Caenorhabditis elegans: one gene and its partner. The protein of the gene in region 1 interacts with the protein of each later gene in a pairwise test. Each region holds a gene or a part of one and is shown on either strand. Other genes may lie near its edges. The genes, in order: mfsd-13.2 and Y57A10A.8.

Region 1 (7,655 bases):
AGGCAATTTATAATATTTCATACAAATTATAATTTTAGAATTCTGATAAGCCAGATGCGAGAAGTAGTTCATTTGGTTGCAATGAAGCCGCATTCAAATTGTGAATTCCTATTGAAAGTTGTCCGCAATTGGGCCGAAACGCATAACGTTAATATCATCAATTAAATGTGATAATGTATTTCTGAATAAACTGGTTTCTTACTTCATTCCGCTTTGACCCATTTACCCGGTTACCAGTTGTTGTTGTTCTATACGAGAAAACCCGCTTATCAGTCAGAGATAAAGTTGGAAGGCTTTAGTATAAAAGTATTATCCGAACACAGAAACTTCAGTCGTCAGCTGAACATGAAGATTGACAAAGAAGACGATCAGCAGCAACAGATGCGCAGAGTCGCATTCTTTGCGGTTGCTGTCTCAACTGCAGCCGTCATTTCAAGGTAATTAAAAACTTCACTCTTCAGATTATCTAAACTTTGAATTTTCAGCATCGTGACTCTCCCAATGATCTACTCTTACGTTCAATCTTTCCAATCCCATTTGATCATGGAAACCGAGTTCTGTAAAACTCGTGCTCGTGATATGTGGGTTGAGATGCAAGTTCTCCACAAGTCAGGTGTCACCCGTAGCCGCAGAGATGCTGGATACAAGGAGGGATCTGGCAGTGGTGGATCTGGAAGTGGTGGATATGGAGGACCAACTGGAGCTGGAGCCGATATTGGACCAACTTGCTGCCCATGTCAACAGGGACCAGCTGGACCACCGGGACCAGCAGGAGATACTGGACCAAACGGAAATGATGGACATCACGGAGCTCCAGGAGTTCCAGGAAAGGAAGGATCCATTCTCAGCTCTGCACTTCCACCATCAGAGCCATGCATCATCTGCCCACCAGGCCCACAAGGAGCCGTTGGACAACAAGGACCAAAGGGACCACCAGGACCAAAGGGTAAATCTCAAGAGAGAGCTGCCGACGGAAAGAACGGAGAACCTGGAATGATTGGACCCCCAGGACCACCAGGAGGTGTTGGAGAGCCAGGACCACCAGGACCAGCTGGACAACCAGGAAGAGTTATTCAAGTAAACGGAGCTGCTGGACCAGCAGGACCACGTGGAGTCAAGGGGCCACCAGGACCAAAGGGACTTCCAGGAATTGCTGGGCTTACCGAAATCGGAGGACAAGGACCACCAGGAGATGCTGGAGGCCCAGGACCAGTTGGAGGACAAGGACCACCAGGACCACAAGGACCACAAGGACCACCAGGAGATGAAGGATCTTGCGATCACTGCCCAGAGCCACGTACCCCACCAGGCTATTAGACCACCAAGGTCTCGCCGTGAATCTGATTCCGGTGCTTTTGCTGTATGCTGTTCTGCCTTCTTCATTTTTAATTTATTGTTTTATTTAAATTGCTCATTTATGTTTTTCTTTGTTGTTTGGCTGACGACTCAACCCAAGCTCGACTCAAATAAACGCTCGCTCGAAATTCTTTGGTTCTCAATTCGATCAGTACACAATTTTATTTATTGTGTTTTCAAGTACTCAAAACAAAAGTCCTAATAGCGGGGGATTGTAGTTTATAGTGTTTATCGAATTTAATAAAATATCCAAAATAACAACACAGAAAAGTTACAATTGCAATTAATGTTATCGCTGCAGTTTGACATGGAAAAACGATGATGATAAATTGTGGAACAGGAGATTTGCAAAGCGTATATTCCTCCATGAGAACTTATTTGGCAGTTTTGGTATATTATTTGTATGTTCTTAGAATGAAAATTCAGAATTTGAATTTACGATTTCAAAATACTGTTAGAGTATGCTTAAAGTTATAGGTTTCCTATCTACGAACTTGAAATCAGTTCTTAAATATTTGACCACTAACGTGTAAAATACAATCTACACTCCAAATAACTTTTGTAGTTTGTGTTATTTCTGTGTCGATTACATATTTCCTGAACAATTTTGAACCGTGAACACAAAATCGAAGTGACAGGAGGTGGAGTCGATGTAATCACGCATTAAATTTTAATATTCCAATTGGTGAAAAGATAAGAAAGTCAAAAATTGCCTAACCCTGTCGTTTTATACTGATAATGAAAAAACTAAATATTTATTTTTGTTCCTACTTTACCCTTTTTGAATGATCATGGTTCATCTAAACTACGCTTTTTTTTCAAAAAAAAATTGAGTCACATTATAGTCGGTTACACCAAAATACGTAGTCTCCCGCCCTTCCTAGTTTTGTTTTAAATATCCAAATCCCTTTGGATTTTAATCGATCTCAAATACGTAAAAACCGTATTTGATCTGAAACTTTTGGAATTTTATTTTATTAACTGGCAATTCCGTCATGACCCAAATTCGTTCGGTACGTTTTGTAGTCAAAGCTATACGCAATACGGTCTCACTACATCGGTATGGATGTAAACGTTTTCAGGAATTTAATTTTGCTTCAATATCCAACAGAAATTTAATTTTCACAACATTTTCGAAATTTGGCAATATATGGAAATTTTCTGGTCTTCTTCATGTTTTTTAATACCGTATTACGGCCGTAAAACATAATTTCTTAAAATACTTTAAAATAAGTCAGAAAAATAAAATCAGTGAAAAAATCTAGATATGTCGCAAAGGAATCAGTACCAGTTTTCAAAATTCTGATTTGTTAGTCCATTGTGGCTGTTTGGAAATAGAATTTTAGGCAATCAACAATTACCGGAAGTTTTTCAGCAATTTGCCATTTATATTTTTGCCAAATTTTTTGTAAACTGCTAGATTTTTCCTTTCGCTGAAAAAAAGCATGGCAATTCATTAGCCGATTTTGGCAAGCCGTAAGAATTGCAATTTTCGGCAATTGAAAATATTACAGCCATCCACCAATCATTTTTTTTCCAGTCTATCAATGTTCCTGGTGTTCGGTATAGTCAGCATTCATTATTTATGCGAAAACAGCTTTTAAGTGCACCCAATCTCTGAGGCATTGTTTTTGAATAACTAAAACTTCCATATAAATGTTACTGCCTGTATTTTTCTGTCAAAAAATTCGGTTATCAGCCAAAAAATGAAGTGGATGAATAAAATCGTGCGTTTTGTTTTATTTTCAGCTTTCTGCACTGTCTACAATTAAATATCGTTGTTTTTCTTTCAGGAAAGCATGGGTCTTCTCCATATGCCAACATTAAACCTTGTTCTAACTGTCGTTGGTGCTGGATTCATATTGTCAATTCAAAGTTTATATTACATAAAGGTGAGAGAACTATTGTCTATCTATCAAACAAAAATAATTCGTGTCTTCCAAAAAAAATGAAAAAAAAAACTGTAAAATTGAGAGTGCGGGAGGGGATAAAATATGGTTGCCATGTCATGAAGAGAACTGTAGAATCAGAAGAGATAGAGATAGAGACGTGTTTGTTTTGTTGTGTCTATTCATTTGATACGGACTCAACTAGAAACATTCTGAAGAAAAAGAAGAAGACGAACGGAGATAGGTGAAGAATAAATATCGATAAGTGATGGTCTCATTTACTTTTCTTCTTAGTTATTCTGCTCTTTTGATCGGACTTATTTCATTTGCTGCTGATTCAATTAACTATGTATTCACATCCAAATATATCCAGGTTACTTACAATATAAAATTCATTTTCATTTACTCTTGATAAAAAAATCAGAATGAGAACTGTCACAAGAAATTATTCGCACCAAATTTCAGTGGAGCTTATGTACAAGCGTTAAAAAAACATTTTTCATATACCGTATATCCTCTATTAGTAAGGCGTGCAAAACTAATTTTCGGACACCTAATTTGATGCAAAACTAATAGAGGCGCCTTACTAATAGAGGATGTACGGTAAGCTGTTCAATCTAATTTTTTATTCATATTCTATATTGATTATGTTATCAATGGGTGGTTATCGCCTATGATTTTATGATCTATGTTATAGGCTCCATCGCTTCAAATAATTATTTCAAATAATTTCAGGTATTTTTCGATGAATTCCATCTACCACCGTCGTATCTCAAAGTTGTGCAAATTCTGTTTCTGGTATGGAATGCTGTAAATGATCCAATGATGGGCTATATGCAGGTAATATTATTTGCAGTATTTATGTATATTGATTTTAAATTCTGTAATTGCAGGATTTGGGATTTTGTGGCATGAAATGGATTATGGATCGAAGGAAGGTTGTCCTCTACGCGGGACCCGTTTTTGCAGCTTCTTTTCTGCTTTTTTGGTTTCCATGGTCAACGTGAGTGAATGAATTTTTATTTTTTGATAAGAACATCATGGTCTATCAACGGAAACTATTAAAAAACATGACATAAAAAGTACAGAGCATAATATTTGGTTAGGTGAAGAGACAGGGAAGTGTTCACAGATTATGTAAAAATTTAACAGAAATTCGGTTTCGATACACAACAGTGGGAATTTGAATTAAAATGTACTTAGTCTGAACTATCACTCCGAACAATAATGGGCTCAATTGTATAAAAATGATGAAATCTGAATCAATAAACATTGGAAACTTTCTGACAGATAGGATGTTTAATGTTCAGAGTTTGTATAAGTGCCAGTACAACTTTCCAGTAAAGTTAAATGGAAATTTTATATAATTTGAAAAAATGAAAAAAATTATCTGACATCCAATGTTTTAGAACTATTGTTATGTCATTTCATTTAAGGTTCACATGAATAAACTAAAATTCAGAAGCTCTTTGATTTCAGATCAATTGGATGGGTAACAGCTCTTCACCTTCTTGTTTCTCTATTCATTTATGATACTCTACTCACTTTGGTTCTATCTGCATATTGTGGATTATGTGTCGAGAATTCAAGAAGTCATGAAGATCGAGTACGAGTTATTGTATACGGGGAAATCTTTACAATTGTCGCCGGACTTCTCATTTATCCATTGGAAACTATGCCACATACAAATGAACATTATTGGCTTTTCCAGCTATGTTGTGTTGTTATTGCGTGTATTTCAGCTGCATTAATGGCTTTCTCTGGATATCATTTGAAAGTTGAAAGACCAATTAACGAAGATCATCAATTGGAAAAGTTTCAAGAGGTTAGTGAAAAACAATATTGTTTTTCTACAAATAACTAGTTTAGGGTGAAGTAGTGAAAGAAACAAAACAAGATGGATGGAAGAACGCCCTGACAGTTTCTTTGCAAATTGCAAAAGAACCAAGATTCATTTGCCTTGTTGGAGCTCAATTCTTTAGAATTCTCCGATTTATTGCAAATGAAAACTTTTTGATTGTATTCACAGAGGGACTTCTTGTAAATAATGGTTTCTTTGAGAAAAACTCAGGATCACTTGGATTATTTTACGTTCTTGCACGATCCAGTGGAAGTGTGAGTAGATTCTTCTTGATCTGTGAACATGATCAGTTTCAGATATTATTCCTGCTTCTCTGGGTTCCAACAAATCGATTTGGAACTCAAGCAGTTATTCAATCTCTCAATATTTTATCTATTTTCAATGTTATTTTTATTCTCTACGCCGGTGTGAATAATATCACAGCAATTGCAATTTTTATTATTTTGGAAAAGTAAGTTTTTCGAAACTTTGGTAGAGCACTTTGGTAGAGCGGCGAAAAATTTTTCAAAAAGCCGTTTTGAGAAATTTCCGCAATTTCTGTTGGTTTGAATTTCTATAATTTTTGAACATGAACGATTGAAACGCAATTTACAAATAAAAATCCGTAGAACAACGTATTTTTTGGCCAACTATCTAAATTTTGGTTGGGGAAAACTAAGTTTCTTGACTTATCAGCTGCAAAAAATCCATGAGATTTTTAAAATTGGAACTTTGGTATTACTTTTGTACTATAGAACCGGTGTTTAACATTTTCCGCACTGACAATTTTTGTAGTAATTTTTCCAAATTTTCAGCGCAATTTCTCGTTGTGGGTGGCAAGGATTCTACATAGTTGTTGCTGGAGAAGTTGTTGATACTGATATGAAAACAAATAATAGAAAGTTTGTTTCAATATTTTCTCTACATTAAAAAATCAATTTATACTTCAGAACACCATTCTCAACAATCATTTTCACTTTGAAAGCTCTTTTCAACAAACCAGCTGATCAACTAGCGCCTGTTTTCGTTCTCTCATTATTTTTAGAACGAGGTGGATACCCACAATTAACTGTTCCCTGCCAACAATTTTATGAAGATAATTATTCAAATTCAACAATGTTCAATTCTACATCTATGGAAAGCACCACGTTGTCTGGGTTTGTATGCGTTTTGTATTTTCCAAAAACTAATATATAATTATATAATTTATTCAGATATCCGACAGTAGCAGAATGCACTAATTATTCACAATGGATGTTCTTGGCTCTTGCAATTTTCCCTGCAATCTGTGCAATTGGAGAGTCAATGTTTGTTGCATTTGATCAATATTGGAGAAGGCATATCAAAGGAAAGACTGGTCATTTGGGAGATGACTAAATTTTTAATTTCATATTTTCTTGATCTCAATATACATTTTTAGTTGTAAATAAATTATCAAAAAAATAAATAACGAAAATCTCTAAATGATAGGAACCTAACTGAAAAAAGTGTTTATTACGGTAGTTGTGAATGGTGACAGTAAAATAGCTATACTAATTGATTCATGATGGCATAGAATTGAAAAAAAATCTGGTCAATTACAAAAAAACGGATTGAATTAATTCGCGATATATAAAGTATAAACGCTGAAAACTCAATTAACTGATTTCTCCGAATAATGTTTAAAAAATGCCGAATTATCCTTTTTGTTTCAGAAATGCAATCACAAATTGTAAAGTTGATGTCGCCTTGTATTTTGAGTTCAACTTATTGAAAAAAAATCTTTAGCATCTTTAGATTTGAAGTTATGCTTTACTTTGATAGCTCGACTTTTTTGCAATAGTTATCACAAATTTACTTTCCGTTTTACATTTTTGTTATAATTTTTAGAGTTGTGTTTTTTGCATCCAAAATGATCGACAGTCATTCATGGGTCGGCTCGCCACATTTTAGGGTGGCTCTGAAAAAGTCTTAAATATGCATATAAAACTATCGATTCCAGGTAAATTGCATCAAAATCCAATACAAATTCAAATTCCCCTTCTAAACGTGTAATCTTATTGTTAATGGAAAAGTTTGGGAATATCATGCATAGCAACTGAATCTATTTGGAGATGTATTTTACAAAAAAAAGCTAATGCTCAAGTGACACACAAAAACCGACTGTTTCCTTCATGGAATGTAGATTTGGTCAATTATTACTAAACAACGCTCCGACTGGAGATATAATGATGAATTAAGTAACAGGCGGGTCAACACCATATATACAGGTACAATGCGCAACTGTCGATGACTCTCCTTTCCTTCTAACCGTGTGCATTGTCTCCTTATTTTCAGCTGCCCGAGAGACTGTACGTACGAAACTGCTCTAATATTTTTTTACAGGATTTGCAATGTGTTTAACGGTGAGTTGAGTTTTCCTCCTTTCATCTTTCATTTGGCATTTCAGAACTTTGACCCAATTAACGCTGTGTTTGATAATGAAATAATTCTGGACAAGATTTTGAACAATGTATCGAAAGATGTTTTTCCCTTGATACCGTTAAGGGTATGGATTTGTATTTCGAGTTCAACTTGTTGAAGAAAATATT
Region 2 (10,125 bases), 5.0 Mb from region 1:
AGATGGAGCATGTTGGAGCAGTGAACTATGATCCAGAACATAGACACTTTGATTTTGATGATTCCCATATCGGCCATTTGCAAAACGATGAAGAAATGATGAACAATCAATCAATTCCTGAGGATCCTTCATACAAAAGTGACGAGGTGGAATATAATGGATCTTTGCCAGGACTTCCGAAACCTGAACCGATTGATTTTGATTTTTATCAAATCTATAATAGAGATGTATCACATAGTTTGAATCTCAATAATTTGCGAGAAAATAAAGAAGTCAGCTGGAATCCGTCAATTTCTGAAATAAAAGTTGATTTTACATTCTTCGAACGTCAGCAATTCAGTGTACCCACGAATAATGGAGCCACTTCAGCTGAATCAAAGATCATAAGTTTGCATGACTTCCTGAAATCCCTGATCCAATTCATTTGTTTTCTCGAAAGTTCGGAGCTCACTGAGATCAAGCAGAAAATCAAAGAGTCGATTAGAACTGATAATGATAAGGTAGACAGTACTAATAAAAATAAAAATTTGAAATTCTATATTTTCAGTTCCTGCAAATCACCGACATTTGTACAGTACTGCAGGCATTTTTCTTCGGAATCAGTCGCAAATTCAGATTAGCCGCGGCCGCTTCTAATTCCCCAGCTATGAAGATGAAGGATTTCCTGGTCAAATTCAAGTTATTTCTTCTCGGATTGGATTCCTCCGAGCTTCTAGAGCTTCAGCAGAAGGTTCAAGAAAATATTGATGAGCAAACGGAATTGGCAGAGAAGGTTTTTAGAAGTCGTCAGAAATTAATTATATTAACAATAAAAATTGCAGGTTCTTCCGATCAGCGACGTTCGTCAATCTCTCCAAAACCTGCTCTCCACAATTTCTCAATATTAAATTATTTAAATTTTGTTGAATTTTTTGTTGAAAAAACAGGGTTTTCACCTTGTTTTCTTGTTCTTTTTTGTTTTAATAATATTTAATTTTCATTATTTTAACGCTCTTCTTTTTTTATTCAAGTTTAATTTTACCTTATGAAATATTTAATTTTTAAAAAAATGTCTTAATAACAGATATTACCTAAATGCAAAATTTTGTAGAATGAGGAGTACTGTAGTTTCAACTGTATTTTTAAAGGCGCACATTATTTTTTACTGGGTTCCTAAATTTTGTCGTGTCGAGACCGTCAAAACTTACAAAGTTTTGTGCAAAATAAAATTCGGTGAAAATTGAATGTTCGCATTACAAAACTGGCGTTCTCAAAATTTTCAAAATTATCAGAATTTCCAATATTAAACTGCAGAATTTTTTTGCCTAAGAGATCATAAATTTTTATGATTTTTTTCCAATTGAGGAAAAAAGAGCAAATTCGACAATTTTCCGAAAATAAAAATATACGATGCACCATGTTAGACACAGCTGGCAGATGAGAGACGTCAGAGAAAAAGGGGACGCGTGTCTGCGTCTCTCATAGGCGATAGACAGGCTAGAAGGGTTCTGTTTTGTGATTTTCTTACTGGGGTTCTTTTCAATTTATTAAAGATTTGTTTAAAAACGTATGCAATTCCTGAAATATTTAAATTTTTCTGAAAAATCGAATTCTTCAAGATTTTTTAGGATTTTATTTGAATTTGTTGAATATAAAAATGTGCTTTAGGCATCATATTCAGAAAATGAATAATTTTTTTAAATTATTTATTTATTAGTTTTTTTCTAATTTGTATTGATTTTCTAAATTAAAAAAAAACCAAGCTACCACATTTTTTATTTTTCAAGAATATACATATTACGCTAACACAAAATTCTGAAAATGCGTATTGCACAACATATTTGACGCGCAAAATATCTCGTAGCGAAAACTACAGTAATTCTTTATAAAGCTACTGTAGCGTGTTTGTGTCGATTTACGGGCTAGAATGGATATTTAAATTTATTTATTTCTCGATAAAATATGAAAATTAAGCTAAAATTTAGAAAATAATGCCGAGAAACGAAAATAAATAAAGTATTACTGTAGTTTTCGCTACGAGATATTTTGCGCGTCAAATATGTTGTGCAATACGCATTCTCAGAATTTTGTGTTCCTCTAAATATGTTCTGATTTTTAAAAATTTCCCTACATTTTTATTCTTCGGCTATTAGGTCTCCAAATAAGTTCCGGGTCAAAAATCATAACTTCTTTCGCCTTTTATCGATTTTTTTGAAACTGTGGGAATTTATGTTATCAACTATGATCTTTCATTTTGATATGGTCACAAAAAATTTTGACCACCCGGAGTGCCCTAACTCGAAGCCAATTTTTTCAAGCATTTTTCTGATCTCGCTTCTTTGCAGCTTTGAATTGAGGTTTATGTGCGGACTTTGCTTTGTTTAGAATACATTGTAAGAAAACAAAAAAAGTTTGGAAAAAAATCCGTCCAAAAATTTTTTTTTGGTCGGTGGTCAAAAAATTTTTTATTTTTTTTCAAAACTTTTTTTTTCGAAAATTCTTGATTTTTTATACAAAAATGATGTAGTCATGTGTGAACTATTTTTACAAATACAAAACATTTTAACTAAGTTCGTCACACTCAAATGATAATAGAAAACATAATTTTTTCGAAGAATTTTTGAGTTTTTTGAGTATTTCTCGAGATCCAAATTTCAAACTCAAATGTTTTGTATGTATAAAAACCGTTTACACATGGTTACATCATTTTTATACTAAAAATCAAAAACTTTCGAAAAAAATTTTTTTTGAAGTTTTTTTGACGACCGACCAAAAAAAATTTTTTGGACGGATTTTTTTCCAAACTTTTGTTGATTTCTTACGATGTATTCTAAACAAAGTAAAATCCGCACACAAACCTTAGTTCAAAGCTGCAAAGAAGCGAGATCAGAAAAATGCCTGAAAAATATGGCTTCGAGTTAGGGCACTCCGGGTGGTCAAAAAATTTTGTGACCATTTCAAAATGAAAGGTCATAGTTGATAACATAAATTCCCAAAGTTTCAAAAAAATCTATAAAAGGCAAAAAAAGTTATGATTTTTGACCCGGAACTTATTTGGAGACCTAATATTTTCTGAAATTCTTGCAGACTTCACAATGAACGCTGACACTGCCGATGAGGAAATCACGAAACTTTTAGAATTTCTCATTGAACAGACGAAAGATGCATTTGAGCCGATGAGAGCGTTGGCGGTTTTTGAATCATTCGGTCAACTTGAAGAGGATCCGTTAGACCGGAAAACCTATCATTATAGGTGAATAAACTGGGCTGAAAATTGTTTTTTGCGAAAGAAGAAATATTTTCAAAAAAAAAAAGAAAAGAAATAATAGTAATTTTCTTTTAAAAAAATGACACCTAGAATTGTAACTTACCAACAAAAAAAAATCATTTTTCGCTATTCTAGTTTATTTGGCAAATATGTTTTTCTTAAAAAATATTAAAAATACGAAAAAAATTCGATTTTGTTTTCTTCAAAAGTTAGACGTTTTTTTCAAAATATAATAATTAATTAAGGTTTCATCAGAAGATTGCTCCGAATATGGATTCATGGAACAATTATAGTATCGAATCGAGAATTCGATTGATGTTCGCATTGGCTGGAAGAGTTCGGGATAATTTTCTAGAGAGGTGAAAAAAAATTATTTTGAACTTTTTTAATTTAAAAACACCTCAAAAGAGGTTTTTTTCAATAATTGAAAGAAAAAAATTCAAAAAAACCACATTTTGCAACAAAAATTGAATTTTTCGTCGAAATTGAAAAAAAAAATGTCTATAAAAATTAATTCAAAATTTTCTGGAAAAAAGTAAATGAAATAATTTTTTGCAATTATTTTATAACAAAAATTCAGTATAATAATTTTTTTGTGTGCTCCTGATCCTGAATATCAATGTGAAAAAATTCCAAAAAATTTCCCTGATTTTATATTAATTTTTTTTAATCCGAAAATTTATTGATTTGTTAAATTCAAGCGACAAATTTTGACTGATAACCGTGCCGCAGGTGTGTGGATTTACGAGATTAAGATTTTTAATCCATTTTTATTTAATTTTCATACCTATTTTCCCGATTTTTATCTTTTTTTCGTTGTTTTACATTGAAAATCTTCGATTTCTATTAATTTATAAATTTTTATTAATGAAAATCACAAGAATTTCAATGTAAAACGACGAAAAAACGAGAAAAATTGGAGAAATTGGTATGAAAATTAAATAAAAATGAATTAAAAATATTAATCTCGTAAATTCACACAACTGCCGCACAGTTATCAGACAGAATTTGTCGTTTGAATTTAACAAACCAATGGATTTTCGGATTTTAAAAAATTAATTAAAAATCTGGGAAATTTTTTTGGAGCTTCAGAAATTCATTTCAAAATGTGCTTCCAGAATGCAAATTTTCAGGCAAATAAATTAGGAAAAAATTTTTTTTCAATTATTTCCAATTTTCAGCATCCAATCACAAGGAACCGTCGAACTTGATGAGAAAAATCGAATTTGCGAATATATCTCAAATGATGGAACATTGACGTTAAAAGGAGATCACAGTGATTCTGCAAGATGGGCTAGAAGAATCACTTCCACCACGAACCCCACAAAATCCGCTGCTTTTGCCGAAAAATTCATGAATTTCTTGGTCGAAAAAACCAAAAATGTCGTTGAGCCCGTTTCGGTTGGTGGAATTTATGAGGAATTCAGTCAAATTGATGGTTTTGGACTTTCGCCAGCCGCCTATCGTACCAGGTGAGACACCAGAGATCAAGGGATTTTATGGGGTTATTCATGTGATGACGAAAAATGAAAAAAATGTAAATTTTTATAAATTTTTCCTCTATGTGTAGAAAAATATTTTTTTTAAATATGCATTTTTCTACACATGTGAATAGGGAAAAATGCATAAAAATACATTTTTGCATTTTTCGTCAACACATGAATAACACCCCAATATTTCGAAAATTTCGAATTCCAATATTTTTTGAAACAAAAACGAAATATTATACTACATTCTAAAAATGCGTATTGCACAACATATTTGACGCGCAAAATATTTCGTAGCGAAAACTACAGCAGTATCTCTTTAAAAGACTACTGTAGAGCTTTGTGTCGATTTACGGGATCTCGATTTTCGATTATAATTGAATTTCGTAAATCGACACAAACGCTACAGTAGTCATTTAAACAGATACTGTAGTTTTCGCTATGAGATATTTTGCGCGTCAAATATGTTGTGCAATACGCATTCTCAGAATTTTGTGTTCTCGTAATACATTTTTTAAAAAAAGAAATTCGCTTTTTTTAGGATTTTCTAAAATTAAAAAAAAATCAATCAATTTTTCTTCCAGATTCCACATAAATATTGTGCCGGAGATCAATGAATGGAACAGCTACAGTATCGAAGAACGAATTCGATTGTTAATGGCGTTAGGTGCACTGGTACCGGAAGATTTTCTAGAGAGGTATTAGGAAATTCGGAGAATGCGTATTGCACAACATATTTGACGCGCAAAATATCTCGTAGCGAAAACTACAGTAATTCTTTAGATGACTACTGTAGCGCTTGTGTCGATTTACGGGCTCGTTTTTCGCCACTTTTGTGTGCTTTTTAATTATATCAATTTATAAACGGTTTCCGTAAATCGACACAGTAGTCATTTAAAGAATTACTGTAGTTTTCGCTACGAGATATTTTTCAAATATGTTGTGCAATACTTGATCACCTAAATTTGACATCTTATCATCTGAAAAGGTGTCGTTTTTATAGGTGAAGTACCGAAATCTGGAAAATATTTTAAAATTGGAAATTTTCTAGAAAAAAAATACGTGGCCGTGGAAAATATCAGAAAACTCGGCCACCGACTTTTTTCCAAAATTTTTCTTTTTTTTTTAAATATTATATGGAATTTTCTTTAACACAACATTATTGAGTTAATTTCCAGAATTGAAGCGGAAGGAACTGTAGATCTTGATGAAAAGGGAAGAATTCTCAAATATAGCTCAAATGATGGAAATTTGAATCTCGACAAACGTAATATTGCAACAGCAAATAGAAGAAATAGTACAGCAGCACATCGAAAAAGAAGTTTGGATCGTGATTCTGAAAGCGGTAGTGCGAAAAATGCGAGAGCTGTGAAATCTGAGCCAAAAAGGTTTTTAATTTCCTCAATTAAAATGGTTTTTCGATTTTTCGATTTTTTTACAAGAATTTAAATTTAAAAAAAACGCAAATTCGTTTTGAAGAAGAAAAAAACCAAAATATTTTCAAAAAAAAAGCTTAAGATTTTGCAAATTTTTATTATATTTTACTCAGGCATGAAATATTTAATTTTTGCGCTAAAAATACGGTCTCGACACGACAAACAATTAAAAAAAAAATTTTCCTTCAAAGAGTACGGTAATTTCAACTCTAGGTAGTTTCATAATTCTTCAATAAAATGTTTTTTTCATTTTTTTTTGTTGATTTATTAATTCAAAAATTTCAGTTTTAAATTACGGTACTCTTTAAAGGCGCACGCCTTTTTTGCATTTCACAACAAAACAATTATCGTGGCGAGACCAATATAAAATGAAATCATTTAAAAAATCGATTTTTCTTTTCAAAAACTGTCGAATTTCAATTTTTGTGTCAAAAAATACGGTGCTCGGTCTCGAAAAGACAAAAAAAAAACAAATTTTTGTAAAATGCGGAAAGATGTGCGCCTTTAAAGAGTACTGTAATTTCACTTTTTGAGGAATTTTCATAATTTTTCGATTAAAAAAAAACGAATTTATTCACACAAAAGTTTGAATAAAACAATATACAGTACTCTTTAAAGGCGCACATCCTTTTGCATTTTACAAAAATTATCGTGGCGAGACCGGCGAAAAAAAAACTCAACGTTTCGTGTCTGAGTAATAAAAAAGAAAATTTTTGAAAAATCTAATTTTTTTTGAACGAAAATTACCAATTCTCATAGTTTTTTTAAAAAATAAATTAATGTTTAACACAAAATGCTGAATTTTCAAAAATTCAAATTTTTTGAAATTTCAAAAAGTGTGTTTTTTTATTTTCAAAAATTCAATTTTTTTTTTATTTTTAAAATTTCACGGCGTTCTGGCCTTCCTCATTGAATTTTTCGCGCTCCATTGACAATCGCCCGCCGGACAACGCGTGGGAAAGTGTCGTGTACTCCACACGGATAAATACATTTAGTTTTACAACTGAAATAGAGCCGCGACGCGACACGCAACGCGCCGTAAATCTACCCCAGATATGGCCGAGCCAAAATGGCCTAGTTTGGCCTAAACCCTTCCATTTCAATTTATGAGGGAACCCAGAAATCCATGATAATCTTAAACAAAAAAATGTTGAAATTTCAAAAATCAAATTTTCTTTAAAATTCAAATTTTTCTCGTAATTTTCCAGTAAGCCCCAATCGGATCTTCATTATTCATCTGAAAGTGACACTGATGACGTGGAATTCGTTGAATCACTGCCAGGAAAACCGAAACTTGAACCCATTGATTACGACTACGACCAATATTTTAATAGAGATGTATCATATAATAATTATGATCAAGAAGAAGTTGAAAATCGAAATGTCAGATTATCGATTGCTAGCTCAATGCCTTCACTGGAGTCGAATGTTATTAAATTGAATGATTTCCTGAAAGAAGTTCGCAAATTCCTGTGCTTTCTCGAAATTTCGGAACTCGACGAGCTCAAGCATCAGATCAAAGAATCGGTTGTTCAGACTGCTGGCGCTAATGAGGTAGCAAAGATTAGAGTATTTTCATTAGATTTGTTCAATTTTTTTTGGAAAAAAGGATTAGGCTTAAGATTAGGCTTAGGCTTAGGATAAGGCTTAGGCTTAGGCCTAGGCTTAGTTTTAGGCTTAATATTAGGCTTAGGCTTAGGCTAAGGATTAGGCTTACAGTTAGAACTAGGCCTAGAGTTAGTCTTAGGATTAAGATTAGAACTAGGCCTAGAGTTAGTCTTAGGATTAGGCTTAGAACTAGGCCTAGACTTAGGATTAGGCCTAGGCTTAGGCTTAGGCTTTGGCTTAGGCTGAGGCTTAGGCTTATGTTTAGTATTACACTTAGGCTTAAGCTTGGCGTCAGTGGTGAGCTCGCTACTGACGCTATTTAGGCTTAGGATTTTCCGGTTTTTTTGATTTTTAAGGGGGTTCCAGTTGGCCGATTAGGATTAGGCTTAGGCTTAAGCTTAGGCTTAAGCTTAGGCTTAAGCTTAGGCTTAAGCTTAGGCTTAAGCTTAGGCTTAAGCTTAGGTTAGGCTTAATCTTAGCTTAGGCTTAATCTTGGACTTTAGGCTTAGGCTTAGAATTAGGCTTACAGGCTTACAGGCTTACAGGCAGGCAAGCCATCTTGAAATATTTTTTTGAGAAAATGTTTAAAACTGTAAAATTAAAAAAAAATTTCGACCAAAAAAGGACAATTTTTAACTGCAAAATAAAATTATAACTTTCTTGAATTTTTTTTTGAAAATCATAATTTTTTGAACCGCTAATAGTAAAAAAAAAACCAAAATTTGTTTTTAATTTAAAAAAAAAGTAGATTTTTTCAGAATCTGGAAATCAGCGATCTTTGTACATTACTCGATGCATTCTTCTTCTCGATCAATCAAAAAACCAGATCAACTATTCCAAATGATTCCACTATGCCGGTCAATGTATTCCTCATCAAATTCAAATGCTTCCTCCTTGGAATGGAATCTCCTGAATTTCTAGATCTTCAGGAGAAGGTTCAAAGGAAGCTTGACGAGTCGGATATCACGGAAAAGGTTTTGAAATTTCAACGAAAGATTGTTTTTTTTTATTTGAAATTGTTTCAGATTCTTCAACTGAGCGACATCCAACACGCTGTACAATATCTGTTCTTTTCTGTTTCTCATTAATTAATATGTTTTTTCTTGAATATTTCTGTTTTGCACGATATCCTGTTTATCCTCCACTTTTTCGATCTCTTTTTCTCACGAGTTTCCAATTTTTGTTACAAGGTCATGAATCTGTTAATTTTTTAAAATTTTTTTTAATTGACATAAAAATTAAGACGTCATCGGAAAATATTGTTATATGCGTTCTAGAGGGCTGAAGTAGAAAAAATTTTGTTTTGAGTATTAAAGTAGTTTTTTTTTGGACAAAAACATTTTTTTGAAATCATACCAAACCACTAAAAATTGAAATATGGCAATTTTTTGAGTTTTTGAGTAAATTTCGAGTCCTCTTACTACAAAATAGCCCATTTTAGAGGACTTTCGAAATTGTGAATTTTTGCCATAAATTGCCCAATTTTGCCACTTTTTAATTGTTTTTGACGGGTTAAACTTAGATTTTCTGAATTCAGCATATATGGTTTACCCTTTTTCAACAAATTTAGGCAATTTTTTATTTTTGCCCAATTTTTTCAGACATCTAATTACTGCCCTTCTTTGGGCAAAAAAAATTTTTTTGAATTTTCACAAAACTATTATAAATTGAAAAAGGGCAATTTTTCACGGTTCGGAGATAAATTTTGAGTCCTCTAACTACACTGTAGTATCATAACCAAACTACAGTAGCACTGTAGTACCATAACCAAACTACAGTAGTACTGTAGTACCATAACCCAAACTACAGTAGCACTGTAGTACCATAACCAAACTACAGTAGTACTGTAGTACCATAATCAAACTACAGTAGTACTTTTGTTACCCTAATCAAACTTCAGTAGTATTGTAGTACCATAACCAAACTACAGTAGCACTGTAGTACCATAACCAAACTACAGTAGTACTGTAGTACCATAATCAAACTACAGTAGTACTTTTGTTACCCTAATCAAACTTCAGTAGTATTGTAGTACCATAACCAAACTATAGTAGTACTGTAGTACCATAATCAAACTACAGTAGTACTTTTGTTACCCTAATCAAACTTCAGTAGTATTGTAGTACCATAACCAAACTACAGTAGCACTGTAGTACCATAACCAAACTACAGTAGTACTGTAGTACCATAACCAAACTACAGTAGTACTGTAGTACCATAATCAAACTACAGTAGTACTTTGTTACCCTAATCAAACTTCAGTAGTACTGTAGTACCATAACCAAACTACAGTAGCACTGTAGTACCATAATCAAACTACAGTAGTACTTTTGTTACCCTAATCAAA

What was found.
Region 2: the proteins of mfsd-13.2 (region 1) and Y57A10A.8 interact in a two-hybrid assay, tested with the Caenorhabditis elegans proteins (one large-scale study listed by BioGRID).

The regions. Positions count from the first base shown.
Region 1 is NC_003280.10:7,161,338-7,168,992, reverse strand, and holds mfsd-13.2 (Transmembrane protein 180), read left to right. Parts: upstream 1-3,413; 5' UTR 3,414-3,513; coding exon 3,514-3,618; intron 3,619-3,980; coding exon 3,981-4,085; intron 4,086-4,138; coding exon 4,139-4,248; intron 4,249-4,724; coding exon 4,725-5,070; intron 5,071-5,114; coding exon 5,115-5,360; intron 5,361-5,402; coding exon 5,403-5,557; intron 5,558-5,900; coding exon 5,901-5,987; intron 5,988-6,035; coding exon 6,036-6,242; intron 6,243-6,299; coding exon 6,300-6,462; 3' UTR 6,463-6,550; downstream 6,551-7,655. Other genes in the region: dyf-13 (Intraflagellar transport protein 56 homolog), read left to right, coding at 39-165; col-36 (Cuticle collagen 36), read left to right, coding at 346-437, 486-1,317; C27H5.12 (Ferrochelatase), read left to right, coding at 7,458-7,469, 7,514-7,645.
Region 2 is NC_003280.10:12,161,773-12,171,897, forward strand, and holds Y57A10A.8 (SPK domain-containing protein), read left to right. Parts: upstream 1-3,066; 5' UTR 3,067-3,074; coding exon 3,075-3,232; intron 3,233-3,492; coding exon 3,493-3,606; intron 3,607-4,428; coding exon 4,429-4,719; intron 4,720-5,318; coding exon 5,319-5,432; intron 5,433-5,912; coding exon 5,913-6,122; intron 6,123-7,378; coding exon 7,379-7,724; intron 7,725-8,536; coding exon 8,537-8,752; intron 8,753-8,803; coding exon 8,804-8,866; 3' UTR 8,867-8,990; downstream 8,991-10,125.